2 linked regions of the Rattus norvegicus genome follow. The protein of the gene in region 2 purifies or fractionates together with the protein of the main gene of each other region. This does not show direct contact. Links are inferred from orthologs where the notes say so. Each region holds a gene or a part of one and is shown on either strand. Other genes may lie near its edges. The genes, in order: Gtf2a1 and Tbpl1.

Region 1 (11,230 bases), on a different chromosome or scaffold from region 2:
ACTAATGCACAGGTAAGCACACACTGTAGTCCGGCAAGAAAGACCTTCGCGTAGCACGTGTACTATACAGTTTCAGCTCAGTGGTGCCTCTGTGAAATAAAGACACATTCCTGAGGAGCCAATCTGGGGTTTCCTCATAGCCTGGGACTGAGCAGTTTTTCTGTAAGGAAATTAAACTGTCCCTCTAATTCTAGATAACACAGGTAAGACCCAAGTCTTTCAATCACATTTAACAAGTATAAAAACCTAATTAAACCAAGCATCTACTCCTGGGTCAACTTTGTCTCAAACTGTGGCCATTGATCTTTTTCTGTAAATCTTAAGTAGATGTTCATACAGCAGAGAAGCAAGAGGTATATTTTACTGAGGGAGAGTAACAAGTAAAAATGTTTAAGACCTATTATGAGTTTTAAATTTTCTTATACAAATGAATTAAAATTCAACACCATAATTCTTGCCCTTCTGTAAAAAGCTCACACGCAATTTTTACCAAATATAACCACATACAATAAGCAGTTTCAGTTCAATCTATCAAAAGGGTAATTTCTTCAGGTCATTCCAACACGTATCTTCTGATTGAGCTCAACTTGGAAACGAATATAGACAAAGCTTTACATGCTAATTACCAATGGCAGGTTCCTGTATTTAAAATTGACAGTTACAGTTGTCCTACACAAACCCCTCCCCCCGCCCAGCAGCCCCAGGTGCTACAGTTCCATGGCTCGCCAGTCTGAAGTAGTGTCTATGTGGTCAAGGCCTAGCTTTGTTCCCGTAGCTTTGCTTCTACTGCGCTGTTCTGACATGCAGAAGTGAAGGTTTGGCTGAAATATGTCCCAAGTTTCAAACCGTCCATGTTAACGTTTTAAGTTTCTTTTGTCTTATTTATAAAAGGAAAGAAGCGACTCTTCACCACTCTGCATCTCCAATGGCTTTGGAAAATATATAATCTCTTCCATTAAGATTCATAATGCCATCCTTGAGATGAAATTTCCATTTATTTTTACTTCTGTGTATCTAAACAAAAATTAAAAATGCAAAAGATGTAATAGGAAAACACAACAAAACCTCATTCATAATAAAACCACAAGCTTCATCTTATATAATTACTATTCATAAAAGAAATTTGAAATTTTCTTAATGTTTGGCCAAAAAAAAACAGGGTGTAGATTTAATTTTTTTAATAATTCATTAACAGCTCTCAGTAATTTGTATTCAAATAAAACAGTTATGAGTTATCTGCAAACAATACAATTGTGGCCTTACATCTTTTACTAAAATAAACTCGAATAGCAGTGCTCTCCAAACCTACTATGGACCTTTCACACATGCACATAAAACGCTCACAGGATGCCCATCTCTGAGATCTCAATCCTCAAACCCTAGGACCTGTCCTCTTAGCACAGACACCCTCTGCATATCTATGACAAATGGCTATTCAATGTCTATCTGATTATAATTAGAAATTTGTCTAGACTTTACCTGCCCTGAAACCTATGTCCTCGCACTTTCACTTACTGACCCTAGCACTCACTGTTTTTGATGTAAACATTGTTTTGTGCATTTGGAAATCACTGAGTGTTCTTGCTCTAGGCTCAAACTTCCCTCATTAAAACAGAACAGAGACTAATGTTAGAATAAAGGTAGAACAGAGACTCACATTCGGAGGGAAGTCCAGAAACTCAAAGTTGAACTCATATTGAGTAATATTTGTATTTGTAAAGGAGTACAAAGTACAAATTTAAAAGCATTCCTTTATTAGCCTAAGCCCTTCAAGTAAAATTATCTTCTAACAATGGTGAAGCCTCACACTATACTGTTTTCACCAATGCCCAACAGTTCTTCAATTACCCGAAACTTGTTATTATGTTAGCATTTAAACTAAGCCACGACTTACTTGTCAGGCAACAACTTCATTATTCCTTCTGTTCTTTTCTTTAAATTGACTCACAGTTGAAATACAAAGCTTAGACTTCAAAACAAAACTACTAAAAACCCAAATTGCCTCAAGCCACATTCATTCCTCATTTTAAAAAAACTCAGGCTTCCTCACCATTTATAACTTGCTGAAGCACATTCTATTCTTTCGGTCTTTCTAATTCTTCAAATAGAATTCTGAAAACTCTAAAACTGTCTTTCACGAGGCTATATAAACCTACTCACATTTTATTAGTTTAAAATATGAATGCATCTGAGAGCCAGACAAACCAACTTTAATTAACACGTAAAACCTGAATACAGCTCAACAAAGGAGAATACACTATCTTCTTAAAATAAGAAAGCACTTTGAGGAATAGTCTTCAGTCAAGCTCTTGTCTGTAACCTGCCATTATGAAACTATGTTTGGGTACTTGGCTGCAAGTAGGTCTCTTCAGACTAGTTGCTGTTTTAACCTCATACTCTTTATGCAGCTGACAAAAAATACCGTCTGCTGTAGAGTTTGTGACACAGGTTATTAAAAGCATTCATCTGAAGTCACAATGCACAAAAACAGATCAATCATATAACAGACCTGATTTTACCCTTTTTCTAATTAAGACGATACACTGTATTGGCAGTCCCCCTAAAGACCTGTTTGACTAGGCATAGCTACTTATACTCACTGTAACAACAAAAAAGTAAGATCTCTTTAATCTGAAGGAATTTCATGCAGGGTACAAATACTACATGTTCATAACCAAATCCTACTCACTGAGTACTTAGTACTGACTGCTACTCATTAAACATTTGTTTAAGAAAAGAATCACATGGGTACAAAAAGAATCAATAATATGTGAATTTACAATCAATTTCATGACTGATAAGCACTTATTGATTAATGACATAACTATAAAAATCCCAAGAAGAACACTAACACTGCAGTTCTCAACCCTTGGAGGCTGACCAACCTTTCCACAGGATAGCCTAAGACCATTAGAAAACAGATGTTTCAGACCTTGGCTGAAGGTCTAGTGTGGCCTAGAAGTTCTCCTTGGCCTTTTACTTTTCCAGAACAAAAAATGTAGATCGAAGGCACTGGCTCTAGAAGAATCTCTAAGGCCACTTCTGTCACCAGCCAAAGATGTGACCCTCTTTTAAAAAAAAAAAAAAAAAAAAAAGTTGAATATAGTCGTTCCCATGAAAGGCTGAGGCAGGAGAGTTGCTGCTAAAGCCAGCCTGGCACACAAACTGAGACCATAGTTTAAAAAACAAAACATGTTTCATTAAGACTCATGACAATAGCAAAGTTGCAGTTATGAAGCATAACAAAAATAAATTAGTGGTGGTGGGGTACTGGGGTCACCACACATGAGGAACTGTATTAAGGGGTCACAGCATTAGAAAGGCTGGGAACCGCTGCACTGACAGCTATTAACAAATAACTACAGAAAACTAAATCAACTGCAATACCAGGCCATAAAGAGCACTGGCTGCTCTTCCACACGACCAAGGCTAGGTTCCCAGCATGCATGGTAGCTCACAACTGCCCTGTAACTCCAGCTCCAGGGCATCTGAGCAACCTCCATTCGCCTTTGCAGGCAGGCACTAGGCACAAACATGGTGCACAGACATACACACATGCAAGCAAAGCACTCATATCATACACTTAAAAGTGGAGGGAAGAAAAAAACCAAAAAACCAAAACCTTATAAACTAAGGGGGCCTACAAAACTCAATGATCAATTCCCAAATAGTTTGGTTTAAAACTTCCTTGAACAGCAAAATCCGTAAAATTTTAAGAAAGCTCATAAAACTCATCAATAAGGTCTTTTCAGACTCAAGAGAGCTGAAGTTTAGGAAAGAAAAAATTATTACCTTAGTTCTGTCCCTGGAAGGCAGGGGGGCTGTTACAAGGTGGATGAATATGAAAATGATCATCTCTCACCATCTTACCATTACTTTCTTCAAGGCAATGTTAAGGAGTCAAGTTCTACTCATTCTACTCAAACAACCGTGAAGCAGTCACAATGCGTCCCTTCACACTGGCTATAACAAGTCAGGAAGCCAGACGTGGTAGGCAGCATGTGCCTATAAGCCCAGATTGAAGCAGGAGTACAGTTGAATACAAAGTCATCCTAGACTAGCTAGCTCGCTACACATGGGAGTTCCTGGCCATCCTGAGTTGTTAAATAAAACCTGGTCTCAGGAGTAAAAGAAAAACAGAAATACAGGCAGTCATCTTCTGCCTAAATGTTTCAGTGAGGCTGAAAAGATGGTTTAGAGAGACTACAATAAAAACAACGTTCACGACCGAATGTGAAGTCCTTACCTTATCATACTGGCATACAACAACATTTTCTGTGTCAAAGAGTTCCTGCCCTTCCTCATCACTTACATCATCTTCGCTGTTGAGGGGCTCCTGCAAACAAAAGGAGACACAGATCTCATGCACCGCTTGCTATAAAGTTTCCTGTAACTCTTACTGAGAGCTCCTGTAGCTGGGATGTTCTGAGGACGTCAGGTGTGTATCTGGACACACTGAATGCAGAGCTGTCAACGCTTAAGGTCTGCTCATGTTACTTCAGCAAGAAATTAAGGAAAGTTAAGCTAGGGAACTCACAAGACTCAAAAGGTTAACATTTATTTCCTTTGGAACTCATTAAAAAGCATTGTCTGCTCCCATAGAAGACCTGGGTTCAACGCCCAGCACTCACAATGGCAGCTCACAACCATTTCTAACTCCAATCTCAGATGCCCTCTTCAGACCTCCCTGGGTACCAGGCACTCATACAGTAAACAAACACACATGTAGGCAAAATCGATCATGCACATCATTTTTAAATTGTTCTTTACTCGTTAATAAGTACTCAAGACAAATTTCCCTGTTTCATAAGCCTAGGAATAAACCTGAGAAGATATGACGGCCTCATGAGGTCATAGTATTATGTACCAGCAACAGTTTAAAAGGAAAAAAAATGGCATTGAAGAAGAAAACAAAGTGTGGCCTCAGGGCTGTACTAAAAACTAAGATTCTAAAAGCCAATCAGTACTGTTTATCAACATGATGACATGGTGGAAAAAAATCATTAAGATTTAAATTACTCTTAAACGTAGAGGATGAACCGCCTCAGAGGCAAAAGTAAAACCAAAGAAGGGTTTGATAAAATAAGGTTAAACTTCATTTGTGGTGTAAGACAGAAGCTTTAACTCAGATTTAAATGACGAGGGGAAAGACAAGACAAAACAGAGGTAGAAAGGAAAATAATTGAGGATATTAAAGCCTTGGTGTATGCCACTCATACATAGGGGTGTGTGACAAATATACTCTTTGAACAGAAATGTCTATGTTAGGGAAAAAAACGATAAAACCATTTAGAACATACACTTCCTGTCTCCACAGCTCCAGAGCACTCCACTAACCTTTACATAAGCAATCACTCTCTATTCCCTCTTGTGTCCTGGCAACCACCAATCCGCGTTATGACTTCATAAATGTGCCTGTTCTGTATACATAAATAAAGCAATACAATTTGTGGGTGTCTGTGCTGTGCTTGGGTGTTCGTGTATGCTCATGTAGCAGCACGCACAGCACTTCATGCTTCCTTACAGTCCGGTCAAATGCTGTCCTGTTGTCTGGATAGGCCACTTTTTCTTTGCCATTCACTAGTTATTGACAGACATTCAGGATGTCTGTATTGTTTGGAAAGTGACAAGAGTATTGCTGTAAGCACTCATGTACATGGTTTTGTCTGAACTCCTGTTTTCAATTCTTTCCTATGTTCATTTGCAAGTGAAACTTAGCAGCACATGGCTAACTCTGCTTAATTCTGTGTTCAAAGCCCTGTTTTCTGTGAAAGCTGTTTTGGTTCTTATTCACACTGGAAATACACAAGGGTTCCGATTTTTCCTAATCCTCATCATCATCAATAAACTTTCTTTTTAAAAAGAAATACAGCAGTGTGGGTTGGAGAAATGGCTGAGCAATTAAGAGTACTAGCTGCTTTTCCAGAGAGCCTGGGTTCAATTCCAGCACCCACATGGCAGCTCACAACGATTTCTAACTTTAATCCCAGGGATCTGACACCCTGTCTTCTGCCTCTATAGGCAATGAATACACATGATACATGGAAATACATGCAGACAAAACCACCAGACACATAATTTTTTTTAATGATAGTTTTCCTAGTAGGTATGACGACCTCCCAATTGTGGTTTAGATTTCCATTTCCCTAATGACTAAAAATGCTTAAGAAAAGAAAACCACATCTGTTATTATAGTTCCTGAGGCTCAAAAGTATAAGCATAGCATAATATAGAAAATTTCCCTATTCAGTCTCACATAGGTTAAAATTTATGGCATCACAAGATACCATATTGTCACCTAAACCTTTGAGTCTTTTCCAAGCTCATTCAGGTGGGCTGGCAGAACTGAATTGCTTACAGTTGTAAGACTGAAACTTTCATAGATGCTCTTGAGCTGAGGGATAGGTCGTTCAATGGTAAATACAACAACAAGAAGCAAATACCCAGATGCTATCCATGGTTGTCACAAGCCTTTAACCCCATCACCCGGGAGGCAGAGACAGGAAGATCTACATACCCAGTTCTAGGACAGCCAGTGCTATATAGTAAGAACCTGCCTCAAGGGGCTGGGGATTTAGCTCAGTGGTAGAGCGCTTACCTAGGAAGCACAAGGCCCTGGGTTCGGTCCCCAGCTCCGGAAAAAAAAAAGAACCAAAAAAAAAAAAAAAAAAAAAAAAAAAGAACCTGCCTCAAAAAAACAAACAACAAAAACAAAAAGCAAAACACATCCCACCCCGCCCCAATTTAGCCAGGCACAGACAGTGGGACACACCTTTGATTCTAGAACATAGGAGGCACTGAGCTCCAGGCCAGCCAGGGCTACTTAATGAGACCCTGTCTTTAAAACAATTAAAAAAAAAAAAAATTTAGCTCAGTGGTAGAGCACTTGCCTAGGAAGCGCAAGGCCCTGGGTTCGGTCCCCAGCTCCGAAAAAAAGAACCCAAAAAAAAAAAAAAAAAAAAAAAAAAAATCACAGAAGAGATTATGTCATGTTTCTAAAAAAATTACAAATTCTTTCATAAGGATACTATCAACATGAGAACTGGTGAGAAGATTGAGAGAAAAGAAATTACAAACGCATTCATAAACACTGATCTAAAACTTCTGTCCATGTGGGTCCGGCAGTTAGAGAGGATAATACATAATGACCAAGCTGTGCCATAATGAAAACTCAATACTGGTTTACAAAGTAGGACCACTCAATAAAATTCATAAATAGCAGGCTATAAATGTGATACTGTGACTAAGAGTTGCAGAAAGGCATTTAATAATAAAATACATTTCCTAGTAATTAAAAAAAAAAGCAAAGTACTTGGTTAATTACAAAAGCAATCAACTCACTTAGCCCCAAAAGACATGTACAAGGAAATGAAAAAAACCACGATGACAACAACAATAACAAACAATAGACCATTATAAAAAAAACTTCTATATAAAAAACAAAAGCGTCAACAAACACATTATTATAAACACATCAGGCTGGCTCAACGATGAGTTTTAAAAATTCTATACATGTCTATTACACAAGCAATCTGAAGAAATACCATGTAAATGTCACTTAAGGAAGGACTAAAACTGTGGGAAACGGTTGGAAATAATGCTACCTGCCATTTCAACATAGTAAAAAATAAATAACAGTAAACACACGGAAGCAACTGAAGCTTCTAAGTACTCACAGAAGTTCAAACTAAAACCAAACCGAGAGACTGGTTTTCAGACTGGAAAATTTTTAACAGTCTGCTCTATCATGAAGTGATAACACACTGATGTTTACGAATTACAGACAAAATGGCAAGATAGACTCATACAGTTAGGTTGGCAAGTTCATGTCCATAAAGAGAAATGCAGGAGCTCCAGAACACAAGCCACCAAAATAATCAATAGATCCAAAAACGGATAATCGAATTATAGTACAATCAACAGTGCAAGCACCCACCTCTCTCTCCCTCTGAAAAAATAGTGTATAATTTGTCTGCTTAGCACCAAATACAATAGTGAATGGTGAGCGCCTTTTCTTTTCAAGGCTTTTGTAGAAACTTACTTCTTCCACCTGCCCATCTTCGGCTCCATCTTTCTCTTTATCTTCCTCTTCATCATCATCATAGTCTTCTTCTTCGTCTTCATCTTCCTCAGAAGATGTGTCCCCTGTTCCGTCAACTTGCAGCACCAATGGAGCCTGCTGCTGAGCAGGCTGGGCCTGTGGCTGCTGCTGTCCAGCTGCAGGGATCTGTGCTTGTGCTGGTGTGGGCGCTGCCACTGTCGTAGGAATGACCTGAGTCTTATTCCCTGTAAATAAGATTTGCTGTGGCTGGATGATGACACCGGTCTGTGGTGAAATCCCTCCAGGAAGTGGGGCTAGGACCTAGGGCAAACAAAACCACCTATTACAAACTGGTTACAGGGATCCAAAATCAAAATCAAACTAATAATAATTTAAACATGAGAAATGTGCTTGAAGGCATATCATCTTAACTCAGAATAAGGTTGTTCTTGACTGCTGTACACCTATTAACCTGTCCAGGAAAAGAGCGGGGAAGCACACAAAGTCATACAGCAGAGGCAGAAGCCAAAGAAAATGAATATCAAGGGGATGGTAGGTAAAACTGCATTACCTGCTGGATAACAGGCGCTTGTACTCCACCAGGCTGCATTTGTGGTATAACTTGTTGTTGTAGAACAACTGACTGCTGAGGCTGAAAGATATATTGGGCACCATTGGCTGCTCTGACTACCTGAAGCAGCTGGCCTATGGCAAAAAAGAATATAGTCCAAGTTACTAGTTAAGCAGCAATTAAAACACAAAGAAATTTATATTGCTTTCAAGCCAAAGAACCTACCAAGTTAGAAGAGTAAGCATTTTACAGAGGACTATCAACTATACGCCTTACACTCTATTACTGTTCCCAGTTTTCTTCTATATCCAAATTGCTCAGCGGTTACACTGGCTGCTAGTCCAGAGGTCTAGGGTTTCACTCCCACCACTCAAATGGGAAGTCACAGTATTTCTAACTCCAGTCCTAGGGAATCCAATGGTCTCTTTTGGTATTCCAAGGAACTGCAAGCATGTGGTGCACACACATACAAGCAGGCAAAATACCCATATATACAGAATTTAAAACTGGAAAAAATATATTTACATATATATATATATAAATAAATAATACTTTCTGATAGCCTTAATTACTTTTCGTCATATGGTAGCAGTCAAGGAAATGCAGTAAATAGGATCAGATATTTCAATGGTTGTTATTAAACTTTAAAGGCACAAAGGTATAATATCTCATTTATATCTTAAACCAAAGCACAAGGTTTGCTTAAAATTTTCAATATGCAATGAAAATTTGCTGTGAGTCAATTAGAATGCCGAAATTATGACCAAATAACATAATATATACAATACTCTCGTGTATGTTCCTTTAGATATAACAGAATCCTTAAGAGTGAGCAAAAACATGCAGCAAGACAAAGCCCTAACTGGTTCCTCAAATTTAGAAATTAACAAAAATAAAATGACAGGTATTAGCTATTCAGGCCTGTGAAATGTTCAACTTGGTCATCACAATATCTCACTTAAGTCATTTGGCAAGACAGATGCTTAGTAAAATCCCAGTACATAACCATTTCTACATAATCATGCCTCTTCAGCAGGGTTCCATCCAAGAACAAAAGCTCTATCCCCTTTTCTTCTTAAAGCAGTGTCTCTGCTAGTCTCACACTTTCTATAAAAGTAGACTGAGATTGAACTTCTGACCCCCTGCCTCCAACTCCAAACTGCTGGGATTATATGCTACCAAACCCGGCTATAACTTCCATTTTCTCAACTGTAGCCTCAAGAAAGATTACAGCTCTCTATTTTATAACACTTAAATCATTTAAACAATCTAAACAAAAGCTCAAACAAGTGTCAGTATTGTCCTCCTTCTTCAGTGACAATAACCATTAGAGTTCCTTGATGCTAACTTCTGAACAACATTTAAAGCTGCCCCCCGTTTCTAGTTACCTGAATTTGTTAGTATCTGCTGAACAGGAGTCACGCCTGCAGGGAGCGCCAAGGTAGCAGCTGTAGCAGCAGCACTCTGGAATAATAAAAAACAAAGGAAGAAAGTCATATTTGCATGTGCACGCAACAAAATCTTAGTTTCCTGGCAGTGCCAGCACAGCAGTACAGGAAGGAGTTTATTATGATAGCATTCTAGCAACAAGATTAAGTTCAATGTGGCACAAAACAGACAGCACAGCCTAAATAACATACTGAAGTACTTCAAGAAAGGACGGTCCAATTGTTTAGTTCCCTTAGAGAATTTATTCTAAGTAACCTTATACGGAAGCGTTTTTTTATTCCTGATTCAAGCTCTCACAGTCTGAGTCTAACCCGTATGCTTTTAGAAATATATGCTCTAAGAGCCATGTTGTACCATATCAGACCACCATTCCATTATTGCTGGACCGTGTACTGGGAACCATTTTTTAGTTGCTTACACACAATTTTATACACATCACTGAAGACCAAAATCAAATCATCCTTGTTTCCTGGTTTTCTACATTACTACCAGAATCAACAGGTCTCCACACAATATTACCTCAGAATTCTTTGGTTTCTGTAACTGGCAATTCTAAGACACCATATTCTCTAAAAGGAACAGGAGCACATTGACACAGTAACCCAGATACTATATGCAATAGGTTAAGCATTTCTTAGCCCAAACACCGAAGCCAGAATTATTCAACTCCAGATATTTTTCCTAAATTAAGAAATACTTGTGTATACACAGAGAGAGAGAGAGAGAGAGAGAGAGAGAGAGAGAGAGAGAGAGAGCGCACGCACGCGCGTGCGCGCGCGAACTCTTTTTCCCTTTTTTCTTAAAGTAAATCTTGCATGTAATCCTCTCTTGTCTGGAATTCACTGCCCAGACAACTTGGTCTTCAACTTGAAGCCTGTGCCTCCCAAGTACAGGGATCAGAAGTGTGTACCAACACTATTGGTCTTTTTTTTTTTCTTTAAGATGGGGCCCTACTCTAGTCTAGGCTGGCTTAACTGGTAATCCTCCTATCTTTGCTTCCTGAGAGAAGGGATTACACAGTGCCCTATGACAGCTCTAGTGGACTCCATTTAGTTCTTCCAAAGAATTCTTATATTCTTCTTGCTTGCCCCAAAAGGTTTCTATCATTCTGTTAGCTTAATTTTGTACTTTTAAACATTGTTATGCATCTCACTGTAACTTCATTTAGG
Region 2 (11,862 bases):
AAGGGGGGCAAACAGACAAACAAAACCCCACAACAAAACTCAAACAACAAAAAACAAATCAACAGCAATAACAACAACAAACATCACAAGACAAACTAAAAGTATAGTTTCAAAGCTGGACATGTGGCCTTTGAGTCAGAGGATTACCAGGTGGAGGCCAATCAGGGATACACAGCAAGATCCCACCTCACTGCAAGACAGCCAGACACTGTTTGAGACATCTGAGGTCTTCTAATTTTAACAAAAATAAAAAAGCTGAAATAAATAGAGATGCACTTGTAGGGGGCCAAGAGGTGGGGGTGGGGCAGGGATAGGGTTTCTCTGTATAACTGCTCTGGTTGTCCTGGAATTCACTTTGTAGACCAGGTTGGCCTTGAACTCAGAGATCCCTCTGCCTCTGCCTCTGCCTCCTCTGAGTGCTGGGATTAGAGGCATGCCATCATGTTGGGCTAGAGATGCACATTTTTAACATAAAGACAACTAAGTACTCTCTTGCTGCTTCTCGGAGGTATGTTGAGAAATACTCAGGCTGTGGTACAGCCACCATCTAAGCCTACAAATGTGTACCGGGCGATCCCCACTGTGCATTTCAGAGGAAATGGCAACATGATAACTATTTGTGCACCTAAATGAGGGTAAAGTAGAAACACAGGTAACAGGAAATTTCATTTTCCTTATGATAAGGCCACCATCATCTATGTGGTCCTCCAGTGATCACAGCTCCATTGGACAGCGTATGAAACTGCCCAAGCAGGTCTGCACTGTAGTGAGATTTTTAGATTACTGTCAAGCTTTAATTTGCCATATTGCAATCATGCTAGCAATATGAGCTAAGAGAATCAGAATTACTCATACGAACTTTTTGTTTGTTTGAACATATGTTCTCATGTATGTTCAACATGGCCTCCAACTCACTCTGCAGCTAATGCCTAGTGCTAGTATATGAGCATAAGCTAGCACAGTGACCTTATTTATACTCCTAGTCCTCCGGCCTCCATCTCCCAGTGCTAGGACAGGCAAGAGCTAGCTGGCTCATCTACGAGTTTTTAATCCGCTGTCTTGTCAGATCTTTGTCCCTATGCCACCATAAGAGCATAGAACAGAGAGTACTTTCAGAGTAGCATACCAGGTTTGCTGACTATCTATGAATTGGTGATCATTTTCAACATGGCTTTGCTTCCATGACCTCCCTAAGTGAAGATCCTGGGATGTGGCCAGGCCATGATCGATTAAAGGCTGCTTAGGACTACTTCCCCCAGGCTGTCTGAAGCTAACGGTGAGGGGATGCAGGATGTACAGCAGTCATAAGCAAGCGAGTGACAACAGCTCTGTAGCTCCAGAAAAGTGTCTGACAAAGGGACGGGGTGAGCCTTTTCCCACAAAGGCTTCGAGTTCACTTTGAGTTATCAGAAGCTCTGACTAACCTTACCCATCTTCCTATCTGCACCCTGGATTAGAGATTAGATTAGCTTCATACCTTCCCATCTGTACAGCAACATCTGCCCTCAAATAGTAAGGTGGAAAAAAATACCAGGGAAACCCTTCTCCCAGCAGGTAAACTTTATTGTAAAGGGCAGTACTAACATACTGCCCTCAGGTCCGTCTCTCACGCCACCTTTCTTTTTGAATGGAACCACATGTAGCCCTGGCTAGCCGGGTGCTTACTATGTAAGTGTGGCTGGCCTCAAACTCAAGAGATCCACCTGCCTCTGCCTCCACCACACTGAGATTAAAGCTGTGAGCCACCATGCACATGAGGCTCAGGACCTGCTTTCTTAAACCTATTCCAACAGTCTTCAGAGTATCTGACGTTAAAGGAGCTATAAGCATACACTTGGGTTGGAGAGCAGAAAAACTACAGTCATTTCTCCTCACATCTGTCTCTGTTCTGTTGTCTTAAGATCTGGGATCAATGTGGCCATGACAAAAGGGTTAAGAAAATGTAATCATTATAAGATGGATTCTGACGAATCTACTTGCTCACCTAAATCAGCAGGATCCGCCAGGCTTCACTTTCTTTAATTAGGAAAACAAAAACAAAGTCTTATCTCTGAATACAAGCATCTTGCTAATCTCAGGTGTAAAATGCAACACAAACTTGGGAAAGGGAGCTAAGGAACTTTATCACCTCTATATATGAGGAGCACACCTTGCTTTGTGGTATGTGTGTGTTGGGGGACGTGCGGGGTAGAGACCTGGGCCTGACACATTTCAGGCAGTAACTTCCACTGAGTTAAATACACTATGAATGATGGGATAGTGTATATTTTATAAAATTATTATTTCAATAAGAAAACAGGATTTAGACATTAGACAACAAAGAAGACAATAGTTTGAAATCCACTTTAAGCAAAACTTTCTTTTTGATACAGGGTCTTGTTCTGGCTGGATTAGAACTCACAGTGATCCTCCTGCCTCAGCTTTCTGGGTACTGGAATTATAGACATGCTCCATCAGGCTCAGCAAAATTATTATTATTATTATTATTATTATTATTAGTAGTAGTAGTAGTAGTAGTAGTAGTAGTAGCATTTTAGTAGTTTCAAGTGTTCAATTTGACTTAACTTTAAATTAGCTATCTTGATAGTCAACTGTAATTATCAAATTACTTCCTAGGTTAGATAGTTTCAATATTTGGTTTGAGCCTTACCATCATTAAAAAATTAAGTTTTCCATTCAAAAGCCCTTTGGTAATCACTGTCACAGCAACAGCGTTAGCTCCTTCTGTAACTCTAAAGGATACATTAATCTTACAGCTGTAGTGGCATGGAAAACTCAAATGACTGATCCGGGTACTAACAAATTTCAAGTGTATCGTCAATTAAGGTATACAAGTAACAATGCTTTCTAGTCAGGCCAGTCCTGCCAAATGAGTCAACGGGGCCTGTTTCTTCCACTCAGAAGACTACACAGGCAGGGACGCCGTCAGGCCCACAGGGAGGGAAGCAGCCTTTCAATAGCTGTGACCAGGAGCCAGACCAGGCTTTGTTGGTTTCCCTTCTCTAAGAAATGTACATGTCTGGCTTTACTTAGCCCATCTGCTGTAAGTGATAACCAGATGCTCCTGTGACAATTAGACATTTTCAAAGTACTCCCCTACACTAAAACCTAATAGCACAGATGAGTCTAATAGGCTGGGATCAAAAGGAACGTCAATAATGTAACAGCAAGTCTGGGAACAAGAGAAAGGAGAGATCTGATGAGCACGCAACCGCAGAGGACCAGTGCTCAGAGCACCTGCTCACTCTCTCGGCCTCACATGACCCTTTAAGCTCAGATATTAACTCTACATTGCAGACAGTGATGCCACACCATTAACAAAAGCAGACCCCTGATGCTCAACACAGGTGGCTGCTAAGTAGGCAACAGTTCATACCTTTAATATACCCACTCTAATACCAAAAATGTAACCAATCCTCATCAAGTTACTGCTTACAAGTAAGAGCTTCAAAGTTTGTAGAAGGAAGGTTGATTCTTTTGAAACTAGTATTTCACTTAGTAAACTAGCCTTCATCCAGGCCAATCTATATACGAAGTTGTCTTTCTTGCTAGGCACCATTAGTACTCACAAGTCATGACAAAATGCTGTCTGTAGCACACCATCTAATTTCTCCCTTTCTTCCTCTAATCTTGTGTGTGCACACAAATGCGCCTAAGTATGGATGTGCAAAGGCTACAGCACAGGGATCAGGGACAACCTCACATACAGGTCCCCACCCTCTCTCTACCTTATGTAAGACAGGCTCTCTTGATTCAGTGCTGCTTCTGACAGGCTAGCTAGCCCACAGGCTTTGGGGGGACTCCAGTCTTTGCACCCCTTCTAGTCACAGGATCACAAGGATTATAGACACACCACCCACCTCCTCTGACTTCATGTGGATTCTGGGGATCTGAACTCAGGCCCTCACATTTGCATGCCAAGTACTTGTCCCAATGAGCTCTCTCCCTAGACCTCAGCACTTTCTAATGAGTAAATACTCTAAGGTCAAAATAAACGATAGCCAAACGTTTGTACTGTATGGGAGGGGGTAATATTTTAAAGTTTTGGTGACTCCGTGTGAAGAGAAATCTAAACTGCCCAAGAAGTTACTTTGACGTAAAGATTAAACATTTAATAAGATTCCTGGTAACATATTTCCTTTCATAAATCCAACCATTCAAGATAAATTATCTTCTGTGTTAGCATTTAGTCACAGTTAAGAACAGGTAAGCAGAATTTCCTACGTGGTCTGACTATTTGCCATTGATGACATACTTCTAGAATCTTGCTTTTTCACAACTATAAAAACAACATATATTCTATATCCCTTCTAAAAAAAAAAGACAGAATGTATCATAATAAAAAAATATCACATTTGTCTAGGTGTCCTAGAAGACCCCAGGTCTGTCTCAACTTGTAGAACTCTTCCACAGTGGTACTCCTAAGATGCACACAGTCCCTGTGTCTCCTGCTCAAGTGGGAGCAGTCAGTCCTTCTTTCTATAGCTTGGATTCGTTAAAACAGCCCTAATCATGCCTCTGACCTGCTGGTGCCTACAGGTGCACCACTACACAGAGAGTAACGAACAGATGTGACACAGGAAGACTTAGGTGTCAGAAGGCTTTTCTCAGGGCTTGGGCACTGGCACACAAGATAGGCTCTGTTTCATCTGCTAGGAAAGCCCCCAAATCAGTAAAATCAACATGCTATCTCCATATAGTAAACAAGTCAGTCTTCAAAACACACCGAGGATATGAACACGCGATATGGCCATGATTCACAGTGCTGACCTTCTAGAAGCTTCTTGTATCAAGCAGGCATGATGATGTCTACCAACCAACAGTTACAGTACCAGTACATATGTAATACAGTATCTGACACTTAAATTTACCTCCGTCATGTCATGTTACCCATGTCTGTCACTTCTCTGTCAGCTACCCATACATAAAAAGCACACTTCAAGTGGCACCAGTCAAAAAAGGTGTGAAGTGCAATGGACAGGAATTTCAGGAAAATTTTATAGTTCAAATGTCAGCTAAAAATCTTGACACTAAAAGCTTTAATTTGGAAACATGGTGAAAACTTTCTACTGTAAACGCTTCCAAAATCAATTTAAACTTTATTTTTCATAGTAATAATTTCATCACATTGTTGTTGATGCAACAGGAAGAAATCAACCACCTAGGGTCACTTACTTAATGTTTAAATGTCCTCATGTCTACTCAACTACACTATACAGAATTTGCTACCTTTTAAATAATGTCACATTTCTGATCAGAAATGACATTTCAAAATAATGGTTGTGCCCCATGATCTGTTGTACATTATAGCAAATTCTGCACACTCTTCTCACAGATATACCCACAACATTTTTTATCAGATTATTTTCCACCTGAAGAAAAATGTGTGGAAACCACTTTTGCACTTCCTTTAAAATCGCAAAATGTAATTTTAGCCAAATATTCAGATGCAAAATGGTAAGATAGGTGTTGAAAACAGCTTTAGACCAAGAATTACAAAAACCTTATGTTCTGTTTATAACACATAACAGGTCTGTAATATCTTTTTAACCTCAAAAAGAGTGACTGTCTATAGTAACAGTAGTACCGCATGGGCTTCTAAATACCCCAGTTATCAAGAGCTCAAATATTATCACAGTTTTATTTCAATACAATCTTTTGCATCAGAATGAATTTGAAGCTTAGCAGTTATTCTGAAATATAGAACATCTGGCATGTCCACTCCAATTCTTACCCACAAAAAGGGTTCATATGAAAATACAACAAAGTACCATTAATGAAAAACATACATAAGCCCAGGGCATGTGCTGAAAACTCCCTATGAAGCAGAAAAACATATAAAAGTATAAAAAGCATTTCTGATCAGGATACAATTGAGGAGAACACGGAGTCCTGGGGCCAACACCACGGAAAGCCAAAACAGGATTAATAAAAGTTCGACAAGAGAACTGACCAGCATTCAGGGACCACAGAAGACAGAGGGCTCAGCAAACAGTCCAGGTGAAGAAAGTCTAACGGAAACGCTGATGTGCAGGGAGTTCCTTAGGATACACACTGAAAGTTCCAAGGCTGGCACTACAACCCACAGTGGATGATCACCAAGTAGCCTTCACAGAATAATAAAATAAAAATAAGAAGCAAAAGTCTCACCCTGGCTTCTGAAATACTGACTTTTTCATCTCAGTGTTCAAGTCTCCAGTCCTTTTAAAGGGAAGCTGCTGATCTCCTTGTCAATCTGAAAGTACTTCAACTAACAACACTGGACCCCAGAGTCCCAGTTAGAAGCTTACAATAAAACAAGGACTTAAAAACTGTACCCTGCCTGGCTCCTCTTCAAGAAAGCACACAGCTCTAGATCATTACAGTTCCTGGCACTCATTTTGGGAGCACAGAATATACAAGAGGCCTGGCAGTAACAGCGACATCCTTTGGCTTAGGAGAAGCCAGGCTTAGCAACTGAACCTGTGGTCAACATATTGCCTAGAAAATTATCAATGCTGTTTCCATCATTAATCTTCAACTTTGTATGAAGAGCCTTGGTCCTACTGACCATAAAAATGTTATTACTGTAGAATGTAACCTTTCCGGACCACAGAGGAACTTTACTACCGATGGGAAAATCAGTTTTGTTTTGTTTTCTGAGGCAGACATCTAGTGCAGGAAACTTACTATTATGTACCTAAGCAGGCCTTGGACTCACATTCTCCCGCCTCAGTCTACCAAGTAGTCTGTGATGCAAGTCTGAAGAACACAGACTGATGAATATTTAACTGGGCGTATCAAACCCTAAATAATTCTTTCAACCAGACAGTGCTAAAAGTCACTCTTGATTTGAATGGACTGCTTGCTATTTTCTCAAACTTGGAAAGAGCCTGCGAATTCTGGCCAAAGTCTGAATGCCCTCCTTCCATTCCCCTTTTTCAATGACCTCACGGAATCTGAGCTTCATACACAAGCCACAGTTCTAGGCCATTCTTCTTAACCATAAGCACGCCAAGTTCACACTAGTCACTGCCAGTCTCACTCGGCAGGTGACAGATGCAGTAAAGCTCACAGATGTGGACTGGCTGCAGCTTGACACTCGGTGCAATGTGCACACTGGCAGAGCCTGCAGATGCACGGCCTGCAGATGCACAGCTCGGCAAAGGAGTGTTTTCTATTTCAGTCATTTCCCATTTTATATACTTCTAGAACCCGTCCAGGCGATTGTGCAGCGATTATCGCCTCCTCCTCCCCCAATTCTCATCCCTGCTCAGCCCTATTCACAATTCATTTCTTTCTTCCCGCGTTCCAGATCCTTCTTCCCGAAGCTTAATTTGGCTACTACTATTATTATAGAGCGGGGCTCCCGGCAAGTGCCAGAAACGACAGGCGACGGCGCCGCTATTTGGGGGAGCCCTCGCGCAGCTGCTCCAAGTTTCCCGAGAAGCCACGGACCCCTCGCTTAGTGGCATGGTCCCTTTTCCCCCTGGGGGGGAGGTGCTCCAGGACCCGGTCCATCCCTGCCCGTCCGTCTTCCTCCGCCAGGCAGGCGCGCCCCACCCCCACCCCGTTATCCCTACTGGGATGCCCGAACCGCTCGGCCTGTCCTCTGTACTAGCCGGTGGCCCGCGGCGCTCCCATGCTCAGGTCCCCGCCCGCACAGCTCCCCGCAGCCCAGCCGGCGCGCAGACGCCCCGCGGCTGCTCCGGGCCCCGCGGGTTCCGCGTCCCCCTCCCCGGACCGCCGACGGGGTTACCGTGGGAAGACGGGGCGGTCGTAAAGGACGCGGCGGCAGCGCTGCTGCTGGTTGCGTCGGACGCGGAGAAGAAGCTGGAGGACAAGGATGAAGATGAAACGGGTTCGCTCCCCAGTCTCCATGGAACTCCCGCCCCGGCCCGTTGCTAGGAGCCCCCCAAGGCTCGAGCTCCGTTTCTCGCTTTGTTGTTCCGGGTACAGGGCGGCCGCTGCTTCCCCCGCGACAATAAATAGACTAGACGCTCGGGAGCATAGAGATGGGACGAGGCAGCTAGAGTGCCGCCGGACCCGGGCACTCCGGGTATCCGCGCTAGCCACTCACTTCCGGTTCTCGCTGCTCTCCTCGCAGCCCTGGCCCCCTAGCTCCTTCCTCCTTCCAGAAGCCGCTGGCAAAGTCCTCCTGCCCGCGGGATGGGCGAGGCGGAAGTGGCCAGAGGGCGCTGGTTACCCGGGCTGCGCTTCCCTCAGCTCACCGAGGGAGGGTTGGAAGCCCCGTGCATGTTTTCTGCTCATCGCTGGCGAGCAGCATAGCACAAATGGGCTTTAATTTCCATTTAAACCAGAACTGTGCCTAGCACCCAATCGTTTATACAGACAAGCTCAGCTAGCAGCCACTGGGCCCTAGTCCTGACCAGGGGGTCCCGGGGGTCCCGGCCTTACTCAGCGAGGGCCCGGCGTGGCGGGAGCAGTGAGGCTGGCCGGACGCTGGCGACGCACACTCGCCGGTTTGAACGGCCGCACCGTGCGGGCCGAGTGAGCCCTCGGGACGGCGTGGGCCGTGCTTCCTGCGGAGCGAGACTCATAACGGCCTGAGAGTCGCCGCGCGACCCCGCTCTTGCCCCTGCTGGCTCGCCCTGGACGGTGGGGGAAGCCAGCGGGTTAAAGGCCACGTGAACCGGGTTCCTTAGCTGTTTGGCCTTTGACGGGGACCACTCCACTTGGCTTTTTGAGAATGACTGACTGACTACTGAGGGTTTGGGAGTACACAACTAGTAGGGGATTTTAAGTATTTGAGGGGTAGCCAAGGATGCCTATTCTCCCTACTGTTAAGTATGAAAACACGCGCGTACACACACACACACACACACACACACACACACACACACACACACACACACACACACGGCACTCGAACGTTTTAAAGCTCTGTAGGACAAATTTGCTTCAGTTCTCATTTTTTGAGCAATATTAAATAGGTGTGATTGTGTGGGATAGAACGAACAAGAAGCTGGGTGAGAAAGTCATGCCTGTGGTGACTGATTTCGACAGATCTCGAAGGGATGGCACTGAGAGGAAAGAGGATATTGAGGTCTGGCTACGCTGGGGAGGGCGGGGTGTCAATAGGAATAGGGCAAAGTGAATACAGATAGAAAGTGAGAAGATGAAGTTGGAGGGGAAGTAAGACCCCAAACCATCTGCACCTTGCAGACGGGACTTTGAATTCTCTTCCAAATGCTAGGGAGTTCGTGCTGGCGAGCAACGGGGGTATGGTTTACTAAGAAAAACGATAACCACTAAACGCTCTATTTTTAAGGGCCACTGTCCCTGCTTAGAAGGCAATTTTACAACAATGGCGACTGATTCTAAGGTCTTTGTGATACTTTCATTCAAGCAGCCCAGCAGGATACCTGGAACATCTAGTGCCTTGTACTTCAGGTTGCCTTTTGTTATAGCCAAGGAGCCTTAATTGGATATAGTTTGCCTGCAAGTTCCATTTGCTGTGGTGCTGATCTTGATTGTTAGCCTGATTGGATTATTCTTCGCCCTGGATGATTAATAGAGCACACTTGTAAGTGTATCTGCGATGACGCCTTCAGAGACAGATGGATTGCTCGCAATAGATTCATTACACAGTATGGCAGCATTACTATATGGAAATGAAAGGTAGGCGAGGCCTGCTGGGAAGAAGTAGGTCATGGGTGTGTCTTTAGCTGACATTTCTTGCCCTGGCCCCTGCTTTCACTTTTCTTCCTGGAGGAGCGATGGGAACTCTCGCACCATGCACTCCTGGCCATGATGGACTGGCATCTGTGCGTGAAACCCTCTTTCTTCCCCTTTGATCTGACTCCCAGACAAAAGTAACTTATATGGCCCTTTCCCACTAATGACCAGAATACTTCCATACTATCATACTATCCCATTTATTGTCCTTCTGACGGAGGAAGTCCCTTTTAGTGAGAGAAGTGGGACAATAGCATCTCTGCTCGTACGTGCGCAGAAGACTGTTGTGAAGTTGCCATCTGCAGCCTGCTGTAAACTAAGCATCCTATGAGCGCTGTGGCACTGACACTTAAAGAGGCAGTTACAGTTGTCTTAACTGTAAGACGGCGGGGCAGTTCTCAACCTTCCTAATGCCGAGACCTTTTAATAACAGTTCCTCATGGTGTGGTGACCCCCAACCATAGAGTTATTTTCATTGCTGCAGCATAACTAGATTTGCTACTGTTACGAATCTTAATGTAACTATTTTTTCTGGAGAGGTTTACCAAAGGTGACGTTTAGAACCGGTCAGTCAAGGACAGTGACTCCCTATTCATGCTAGACCAGAGAGATGAGCGAGCTTCATTGGTAAAAGTTCTGCAACTGCAAATGTAACATAGAAACCATGACAGCAATATTGACTGTCAACTTCCTGGGGATTAGAGTCACCTGGGAGGCAGACATCTGTGCACAACTTTGAGGTAGTTTCTAGATTGGGTTAACTGAGATGGGACAGAAAATGTGGGTTGACACCATTCTATACACTGGGAACCCTGGCTGAACAGAAGGGAGAGACGTGGCTAGGTACTAGCGTTCATCTTTCTCTGCTTCCTGACTGTGGATTTAATGTGACTTGCTGCCTTGTGTTCCTGTCATACACCCCCCCACCATCATAGGATGTGCCCTTACACACCATAATAAACAGCCCAGATAAACCCTTCTTTCCTTCCTTTGGTTGGGAATTTTGTTGCAGCCTTGAGAAGAGTAATTAGTACACAGGCTACAATAATTACAAGCTGTTCCAGTCAACAATGAAATAAGACTGAAATCTAAACGGACAGGTTGGCATTTTTAATAATTTAATATCACAGTATTTTTTAGTAACTTAAAAAAATCTACAAAAATGTATCCTTTACTACCGGCATTTTAAGACAACAGCAACTGTCACAGTAAGTCTGACTCTAAGAAACTTAGATCTTCAAATGAAGCTACAGGAATGTGCTGGCTCCTCTAGCCTCCTGTAGTCCTGCAAAAGATGGGAAATAGGATTGAAATCATGTCACACCATTAAGTATAGTTATTTCTGCCAGTGGTTAGCTTTTCTGTGCTGGTGAGGATCTGCCATGCCAGTTAAAGCAACGAGGCTTTTTGTCTCACACCAAGTTAGAGACCAGGGAACTGTTGATGTGAGAGCTGCCCCATTCCTCAGGGGCCCTCCTCTGTGTTGATATGCCCCATTACCATAGACAGACCTCCCATTACGCCAGCTGAGCGGTAAACATCTTAGCAGATAGCATGCTGCTAATAACACAGCTTCATAAGCCCAGTCTACTCCCCAGCCCTTACTCCCAGGCAGACTTCATGACAAGAGTCACTGAACAGTAGCTAGGCTGGTTCCCAAGAGATAGAGAGTGGTAGGGGAAGGTTCATACTCAAATTCCTGTCTCTGTGAGCTTCCCCAACAAGCTGATGGAGTTCCTCAAATGACATTAACTGACAGCCTAGGAAAGAACTACGGCATTTCTGGAAAGTCCTCAGTAGAGCAAACGATTCCTAAGGTGATCTGTTTTCAAGGACAATGTCCGCAGGCTTCAGATCTGGTAGAAAGATGAGTTAGGTTGCTTTCTTGCTGTACCTTTGGGGCAGAATCTGATACAAGAGAAACATGGGTGCTGTAGAGGGACAGCCCTGACTCCCTCCTGTTTAGCCAAGCACAGTGGATGCTCATCACCACCACAAGCTGCTTTTCCTTGTCTGTTTTCCTCTTCTTTAGCATACAGTCCTACACTGTTTGGCCACAATCAGACCTGAGCGAAATCAACAGTCTAAAGATTCCTGAATTTGGAGTTTAAATTTAGTAACTGGGTTTTCGACTACCGAGGATGGATTGCATGTTTGTGGTAGTATGTGGGGTAGCTGACTGAT

Evidence for each region.
Region 1: the proteins of Tbpl1 (region 2) and Gtf2a1 purify together in Homo sapiens (affinity purification with mass spectrometry; 5 studies listed by BioGRID and IntAct, counting the BioPlex papers as one, with this or other methods). This does not show direct contact. The link is inferred for Rattus norvegicus from reciprocal best matches to the Homo sapiens genes TBPL1 and GTF2A1.

The regions. Positions count from the first base shown.
Region 1 is NC_086024.1:116,223,124-116,234,353, forward strand, and holds part of Gtf2a1 (transcription initiation factor IIA subunit 1), read right to left. Parts: intron 10,077-11,230; coding exon 10,001-10,076; intron 8,747-10,000; coding exon 8,613-8,746; intron 8,363-8,612; coding exon 8,042-8,362; intron 4,337-8,041; coding exon 4,247-4,336; intron 1,015-4,246; coding exon 907-1,014; 3' UTR 1-906. UniProt on the Homo sapiens protein: TFIIA is a component of the transcription machinery of RNA polymerase II and plays an important role in transcriptional activation. TFIIA in a complex with TBP mediates transcriptional activity.
Region 2 is NC_086019.1:24,593,706-24,605,567, reverse strand, and holds the start of Tbpl1 (TATA box-binding protein-like 1), read right to left. Parts: upstream 7,948-11,862; 5' UTR 7,861-7,947; coding exon of another isoform or gene 7,739-7,860; intron 6,108-7,738; exon of another isoform or gene 5,954-6,107; intron 1-5,953. UniProt on the Homo sapiens protein: Part of a specialized transcription system that mediates the transcription of most ribosomal proteins through the 5'-TCT-3' motif which is a core promoter element at these genes. Seems to also mediate the transcription of NF1. Does not bind the TATA box.